2 linked regions of the Bombyx mori genome follow. The protein of the gene in region 1 interacts with the protein of each later gene in a pairwise test. Links are inferred from orthologs where the notes say so. Each region holds a gene or a part of one and is shown on either strand. Other genes may lie near its edges.

Region 1 (4,401 bases):
AAATATTGTTACTTTCTACATAAATGAAGTGGGGAGTAAAATTTAGCGTTATTCCAAAGTAACTATTCCACGCGGACGGAGTCGCGGGCAAAAACTAGTATATTGATATGCATTCAATATCAAAAGCCAGTTCTTGTCTGGTATTCACAATGTATATAGTATTCTATGGCTTATGTAATTCGGAGAGACGGGCCTCATCAGCATTGGGTTTAAGATAAGGAAAACTACAAACTCAAACATAGAACTGTTATGTTAAGCAGAAGTAAGTTTCAACCAAACACTAAAGTCAAGATGAGACTTGAGGACTGAGTGGGTTTATGGTGGGTCGAACATGACATACAAGTGTCGCCTCAGGGCTGATTAACCCTATATTTATTTACTCTTTGCCATATTAGCTCTTACCCTTCTAAATGAAGGTTTGTCAGTGTCGATACATTTCTTAATATGAATTCTCACCTGTCCAGAGCCGCAACTGCTCTTTTATGGCACATTAACTTATATCTGTTTATTAATTGGATACAAAGAAATAGTGCCAAACAATCATAACATTCAACTACATAGTTTTCCACATTTTTCTGTAAAATAAAAAATTAAGATGATTCAATTCAATTCAGACTATTCAATTTCCAGAAATAAATATTTATGTACATAATTTTAATGGTTTACTCACTACAAGCACGGACAATGTTTTACCGAGGATTCTATCAAAGAGCTCTTGTGCATGGTTTCCTTTGACATGGAAGAATTCAGTGGTAAACAGATATTCTCTGCAACCATTGTCTACCAAGGCATATTGAAGACTTCTAAATAAGGCTTCATATGAATACTGAAAATAATTTATTTATTATCAAGAAGTGGATCAAAACATGAATATAGTGTCATTAAAAAAATGATATGCATACAGCAAGCAATAAATATTTTAAAGTTGTTAATTTCATATTTTATTTAGGAATGAAAAGATTTTAATCACTTGATTCTATAAACGAGAAACCAAATGAAATTTGTAATATTGTATTTTGTACCTTTGTTTTTTGCTGAACATGTGGTACAATAATGGGTGCTTCTAGTTGTTGGGCCAGAACATCACCTCTATTCCCTATAGTGAATATTGTACTTTTATTTTTTAAATTAGATTTCTGGAAGAATCCTCCTTTAGATCCATCCTCAATTCCCATTAAGTCATCTTTGTTGGGTGCTTCTTCATATTTCAATTTATCTAGTCTTGATGCATATGACTTGAAGTATGAATAATAAACTTTGCTCAATGTATCAATATATTCATTGCAAATTTCTTGAGCCACATTTCGTTCATTGGTCAATACAAATTCAAAGAAAAATTTGTATTTCAGCATGGCATTTTGTGGTATTTGATAATTTGCCATTGGTTTTCTGAATTTATATATTTGTTCTAAAATATATGTTCTTATCTTTGACACTGCTTTTATCTTTAATTTTTCCAAAACGTCTTTGACATCATGACAAGCTTTAGTTTCTTTGAAATCTTGTTCCTTTACAAAATTTAATTTTTGGTTTAAAATTGCCAACTGCACCATGAATTCTTTGTCGGTAACTGGAACATTGTTGATACCACTGGAATGTAATAGTAAATATAATAGAGTACAATTAAAATCCATAAAAGTGGATAAATGAATCCAGGCAATCACTTACAATATAACAGTTTCCGACACTGCCATGTCTTCTATGAATGCAGATAAAGGTCCCTTAAGCACTTGTCTATTAGATAACTGTACTGACATATTCACTGAACGCTTTTGTAAACTTATAATTTCATTGCTGATGCTTCCTAAATCATTCTGTTACAAGAAAAGTTATCATTAAAGAATACAATAGGCACAACATTTTTCAATAGAGCTATTCTCAACATCAAAATTTTCAGTTTATTGGCAAGTAGGACCTGTTTGTAGTTCATGTTTACATTCCAGGGAATTCCACAGTACTGAAATCTTTAGGTATGATATAGTATCAAGATTAACTCAAACTCTCTCAACTCAATTAGAAATTAAAATTAAAGTTCTCAGTTAACTGTCAGAGGTATTTCAGTTCACTAGATCTTATTGATAATAGTTTCTCTGTCTGTCGAACTCCTAAGCCTTTTAAACAAGCACTAAAAACTAAAAAATTAACATTTATTTGAGACTTTTTTCTATAAAGGTAATAGGTATTCTATAGTCACATTATTATAAATATTTTATTTCCTAGCATTCCCTAACATGCTTTGTATTTATTTTATTTTCCAAGGAGATGTATTTTTCTATCTTTATTGTGTGAAAGGAGAGGCCTATGCCCAGCAGTGGGTACCAAAGGGCTGAAAACTATAATAGTGTTGTAAATCTGTTTTATGCGGTAAATAGAGATAAATTTACCTGAAACACCAGTAGCATACTCTCCATTTTCCCTAAAATATTGTCACATTCTTCGATTTGATTATGAAGGGAGCCAATATTCTCACTTTCTCTCAAATAATCCGCAACAGATGCTTTTTCAGCTTCGATGATTCCTTTGTCGATTTGAAGAGCATATTCTCGCAAATCTGTACCATTACGGAGAACCTCTTGGATTTCGAAATCCTCAAGATTTTTGTCTAAGTTCATGTTGTTGTTATCAGACATGATTAAACTCTAGTGGAATGACGGGAAATCAACATTTATACTTGACTGTGTGCGTTTTCAACTATTCACATACATTTTACTTGAATTTTTAGGTTTTGTATTTAATTTTTTTTGTTGTTTTAAACAATTTAAAGCACTGAAACAGTGACACTACTTATGACGTTTTTTTCGTTTTTCTTTCTGGATGGACAAAGAGTTCAAAGCCCATACAGCCAAATAAAAAAAATATTAAAATCTCAGACTCTTTGGCGCGAACACGAAGAGCGAAATTGTATGAATTTTTGTTTTGTTGGTTTTGTTTCCTAATTTTAGGGTTTCTTCAGATTTAAACGTGTAATAAAGGTAGTTTATTAACCTCGTTTTGTGTTGAATGTGGCTTCTCGGGTTGTTCCAGTTTCTGATCTCATATTAAATAACTACCATTTTATTGAGACTTTATTCTATCTCATCTCATCTCATTTAATTTCATCCGAATTGATTACAGTCTCAAATTAATTAACTTCATCTCATTTTGCTTCATTATGTATATAAAATATGTATAGGCGTCCCACAAGAAAATATATGATTTTATTTCCCTAAGAAACTGTATGAAGTCTTCCAAGTACTGGTTGGCTCCTGGAGTTGTGGGTTGTGGGTGTTGAAGGCAGTAGTGGGTTTTCTATGTAGCGTGGGGAAATTAAGTTTTAAAAGTTTGTTACATGGTTTTGGTATGTGTCAATTTAAAAAGTAATTAAGTAAGTGTGGGTGAGGATTGTGGCCTTACTGTCAAAACCTACAAACACTCGATTTTTTTTTATTATTTATATGGGTGGACAAGCTCACAGCCCACCTGGTGATAAATGGTTACCGGAGCCCATAGACATCTACACCGTAAATGACACCATCCACCTTGAGATATGAGTTCTAAGGTTTCAGTAAAATTACAACGGCTGTCCCACCCATCAATTCGAAACGCATTACTGCTTCACGGCAGAAATAGGCAGGGTGGTGGTACTAACCTACTATTGCGGACTCACAAGGGGTCCTACCACCAATAACTATGCAAATTATAATTTTGCGGGTTTGATTTTTATTACACGATGTTTTTCCTTCACCATGGAAATCAATCGTGAACATTTGTTAAGTACGTATTTTATTAGAAAAATTGGTACCCGCCTGCGGGATTCGACCATCGGTGCATCGCTCAACACGAATGCACCGGAAGTCTTATCCTTTAAGCTACGATGACTTCAAATATTCTAGAAAAGTACGTTTTTTATTAAATTCAAGGGATGAAAAATAAACACACAAATTTAATGGATGCATAAGCATCAATGATATTATTCTCAAGAAATATTTACAAAGAAAATGTATAACTTTAACAAAAGCACAACTAAGAATAGAGTAAAATTATATTGAAATGTCAAGAAATGCCATTGTATTAATTATGCATATTGTAATTGTATTAAAGGACTTGTAGATAGAATAAATGAATGCCTATGTACACATACATATGAACATATTTAGTACATATTCTCGTTGATCTATTTAACTGATAAATTATGTTTTATATTAATATTTAAGAAAGTTTAACTGCAATTTACGACTATCAAACGGACAGGATCTCGGCATCAAGTAAAAAATACCGTGACGTACTTCCTAATTTGACATTTCTAGTAGTAGTAGTTTCAGTTAGTAGCAGTTTATTTTCCTAACTGTCTAACTGATGTTCAAGGTTTACCATTCTTAAAGTAGGTTGACCTTAGATAGGCCGCAGTTACTCAAACGTATT
Region 2 (4,275 bases), about 930 kb from region 1:
GTATTGTAAATCTGAATAGTTAAGTAGTAAGATCAAGCATACTTCTATCATGAGTTCCAGTATACAGTAATAGTTGAGAGAAACATTACAGGCGGGTAAGGCATATAAGGCGGGTGATGCCATTCACATTGTGATGTCTATGAGCTCTAGTGACCACTTAGCACTAGGTAAGTAGTTATCTCATTCACCAATTAATAAAATGATTTGAAAAATTTGATCTCAAGTCTTAAGATAGAATATAGATAGCTAGTAAACGATACACGAGCTGGATGTATTTTTCCACACATAAACATCATAGAATAATAGATTTGAAACATGCTCCAGAGTTTTCTTCTGATCCAATACCTTGCTTTAAGAAACATCATGCCAAATACTAGTAACAAAAATAATTCACACTGAACAAGCTCAGGCTTGGATCTTCTCATGTTCTATGGATACCGAATGCCTAATCAAGTACAAAAACAAAACACCCATAAGTATGATTAGATTATGATTGACTGAAACTTTATTACTGGTGGTAGGACCTCTTGTGAGTCTGCACGGTACCACCGCCCTGCCTATTTCTGCAGTGAAGCAGTAATGTGTTTCGGTTTAAAGGGTGGGGCAGCCATTGTAACTATACTGAGACCTTAGAGCTTATATCTCAAGGTGGGTGGCGCATTTACGTTGTAAATGTCTATGGGCTCCAGTAACCACTTAACATCAGGTGGGCTGTGAGCTCGTCCACCCATCTAAGCAATAAAAAAAAGCATATTTAATAAAAGTAAAAACTATCTAGTAAACTATATATACTTTTGGTTTCTTCCAAAGCAAGTATGCAAATAAATAATAGTTCAAAAAAATATGCTTTGATAGAAAATCCAACTAAAAAATAGATTATAAATTTTAATAAATTTGAATTAAAAATAGTGTAAGAAAAAATGATTTTATAAAAAAAAAGAAAAAAAAGCGAGGGTGCTTTTCAGGATATTATCAAAATAACCCTTCTACTCATATCGGTTCATAAAATATTTATACCATGTAAAAGTGTATTAAAAATAACATTTTATGTTTTATTTTCATTATCGTAGGTTTCTTGGCCAACAACAGAAATTTATTTACTTTTCTGTTTACTTTTTCTATTCTATTTTCATGGAGAAGTAGAAAACAATAATTCTAACCATCTGTAGAGATTGAAGCCATAAGACTATTGTCTGGGTGAATGTCAATTGCCGTCACTCTAATTTGATGGACATTAGCTGGTAATTGGTGTGTCACAGCTGATGTTTTAATATCCCATATTTTGACTGTACCATCTTCATAGCCAGCAGCCATTCGGACACCATCGGTGAATAGCTGAAAGTGTGGAAAATTATGCAACTTAATTACCAATTACGATAAAAAAGTATATATTAAGTATTAAAAAAGATGAGACAATAATTGGGTTAGCTCATAAACAACTTGGCCTTAGACTCTTAGAGAAACCCTCAAACTTACTATTGTGACCAAGGTGATGAATCAAATATTTTCATTTTACTAACAGCAAACTTAATACAACAAAAATTAAATAAAAATTGTTTTTAAATGTGTTTATTTAGTCATATAGAATAATCTGTCTTACCTTTGCACATTCAACTTTGACATTATGCCCCTGAAGCACTTTAGTTTCGCCGGAAGGTATTTTAAAAATGTAGATATCTCCCGAAACAGCCCCACATATCAAAACTTTAGCACCAAAGTGCCACATGCCAAATGATAAGTCATCTGCAATATATTCAAATGCAAGTGGCCATGGATCTGTTCCATCACTGTATTTCCATACTTTAATTACACCAGACATATCCACTGTAGCTAAGTAAGACCCATCAAAACTGAATCCAACAAATATAACAGAGTCCTTGTGATTCACACATTCATGTACAACTTGACCAGATTCCACTGACCATACATAAGCCTTATCGTCTTCACCACCCGTAACTGCTAATTTACCATTGGGGTGGAGATCACAACAAAATACAGAACCCACGTGTTTGCTGAACACTAGTGCAGAATGATCTTCAGGGGGTTCTATATCTATGTCTTCTTCTTCTTGACTAAGAAACTCTTCCATTTCTTCATCACCCAGTTCATCCATTTCGTCCAGGTAAATTACGCCCTCATCCTCCATACTTGTAATTTCGTCTCCGTTTAATGACGACGGCGGTGTGTTTTGCTCATTCCCGTGCATATTGACTGACTGAATAACTGTTCTTATTAAGCTATCTTATTCACCAATTATTCTCAAATATTAAGTGTGCTATGCCAATTATTTTTAGATACTTTTCAAAAAAGTTATAAAATTGTAAAAGTTTAAGACTAACCCTTATTTACAAAACTAATTAAAATATTCTTCATATAATTAAGTTTCTTTCAGAATTATCATACATCGCATAAACTATTAATTTTATAATGTTATGGTTAAAATAGCAAGTTTTAGATTGTTTAAAATTGAAAATAATTTAACAAATGAGTAAATTGAGTCCAATCAACACGTTTTTTTTGTTGTTGTCAATGACATTCTGATTTTTTTTGTTTAATTCGTCCATTGGGCGGCCAAGGCGTGTAGAGACCAGTCACTCTTTTATTACAAAGCCAGAGGTTATGTTAGTTGTGTGAAAAGTGAAATGAATCAAAAAACTTAAAATAATTGATTAGGGTATAAAATATATAGGGTGAAATAAGATAACACTATAGGTTTTTGACGAGATGAAATGATATAATTAAACTAAACGGTCTAACTAAAAAGTCTAACGAATTGAATTGACTTGGAAAAACTTGTGGCGTTTAAGATTTAAGAACGCACATTTTTATGATGCGTAAGCCGGAACGCACGAGAGGTGGGAAAAAGAAGATAGTCTGTGACACGTGACCTTTTTACCGCGAGATGGGAGGACTTTTTGGCGGGAACGCGAGGAGTGCAGTTGTGTGATTTGTTTTATTTTGTCTATTTAGTGTTTCTTCGGGTTTAAATGTGTAATAATGGTGGTTTATTAACTGTTTAATATCTGTGAAAGTGCACAAATTTGGGAAAATGAAACAAAGCTGCTGGACGTAGCTTCTCGGGTTCTTCCAAAAAGTCCACTGAAAAAATCTCAGTAAATGACCACCATTTTACTGCGATTATATTTCATCCCATATCATCTCATTAAATTTCATCCCAGTTGATTAATGTCTCAAATCAATCATCTTCATTTCATTTCACTCCATATTATCATTTTTCATAAAATTAAGAATATAAATTAAAATAAGACATGACTTAAAGGTCTTAGTTACCAGGTCATAAAATCTCTTAAAAAAAAAAATACCGCGAGATGGACTTTTGGCGGGAACTCCAAAAAGAGCGCGCGTACAATTTGAAATTTTTTTCATTTTTATTTCAATTTTGTTATTTTTTCATAAAAATACTGTGTAAATAGTTGAATTTATTAGTGGTGACCCTTAGAAATGGAGGGTAACGAGGGGGGCGGGGATAACCCGCCCACCTCAAATAAACGTCCTCGCGTTGAGGATCGTGGTGGTGACCCCAAGGTGGACTTTGGCGTTGGCGGAGGCGGTGAGCGTAATGACTCTTACTTGCCTTTTTTTAAACCAAACTATAAAAGACTTTATCCAGAGAACTCTGCTAATACCGAGTTTAAAGTATTTGTCGAAGCAACTAATAAGGACAGACTGGGCAACAAGAGCCCTATTTACTTAAACCACGTTTTTGCAACGGAAATTAAAGGTGTGACGGCAATTCAAAGAGTGAATGCCAATAAAATAGCAGTTATTTTTAAACAATATAACACAGCAAATAACTTTATTAAGAATTCGTCTTTCTTAGAAAAATATGACATGAGAGCTTTCATTCCTGCTGCGCAGATTGAAAAGACTGGAATAATAAGATTCGTTCCAGCTAACATTTCTAATAAAGAGTTGTACAGTAGGCTATCGTCAATATATGAAATTATTGCTATCAGAAGATTTACAAAGAAAGTAGGACATGAGCATGTTCCTTTACAAACTGTAAGCATTACTTTCTTATCTAATATTCTACCAGACAATGTTCAATACGACTTATTCTCTTATAGAGTTTTTGAATATATACCACCATTGCAACAATGTTTCAAATGTTTCAAGTTTAACCACTCAGCTAAAATATGTAACAGTAAACAAAAATGTTCTATTTGTGGAGGTGAGCACTTATATAAGGAATGTGACAAGCCCACTGAAATTTGTTGTACAAATTGCAGCGGACCTCATCTTGCCATTTCAAAA

What was found.
Region 2: the proteins of vacuolar protein sorting-associated protein 52 homolog (region 1) and angio-associated migratory cell protein interact in a two-hybrid assay, tested with the Homo sapiens proteins (2 studies listed by BioGRID and IntAct). The link is inferred for Bombyx mori from reciprocal best matches to the Homo sapiens genes VPS52 and AAMP.

The regions. Positions count from the first base shown.
Region 1 is NC_085110.1:11,268,911-11,273,311, reverse strand, and holds the start of vacuolar protein sorting-associated protein 52 homolog, read right to left. Parts: upstream 2,808-4,401; 5' UTR 2,631-2,807; coding exon 2,385-2,630; intron 1,815-2,384; coding exon 1,669-1,814; intron 1,591-1,668; coding exon 1,023-1,590; intron 827-1,022; coding exon 671-826; intron 576-670; coding exon 457-575; intron 1-456. UniProt on the Homo sapiens protein: Acts as a component of the GARP complex that is involved in retrograde transport from early and late endosomes to the trans-Golgi network (TGN).
Region 2 is NC_085110.1:12,202,714-12,206,988, forward strand, and holds the start of angio-associated migratory cell protein, read right to left. Parts: upstream 2,845-4,275; 5' UTR 2,207-2,844; coding exon 1,601-2,206; intron 1,336-1,600; coding exon 1,161-1,335; intron 1-1,160. UniProt on the Homo sapiens protein: Plays a role in angiogenesis and cell migration. In smooth muscle cell migration, may act through the RhoA pathway.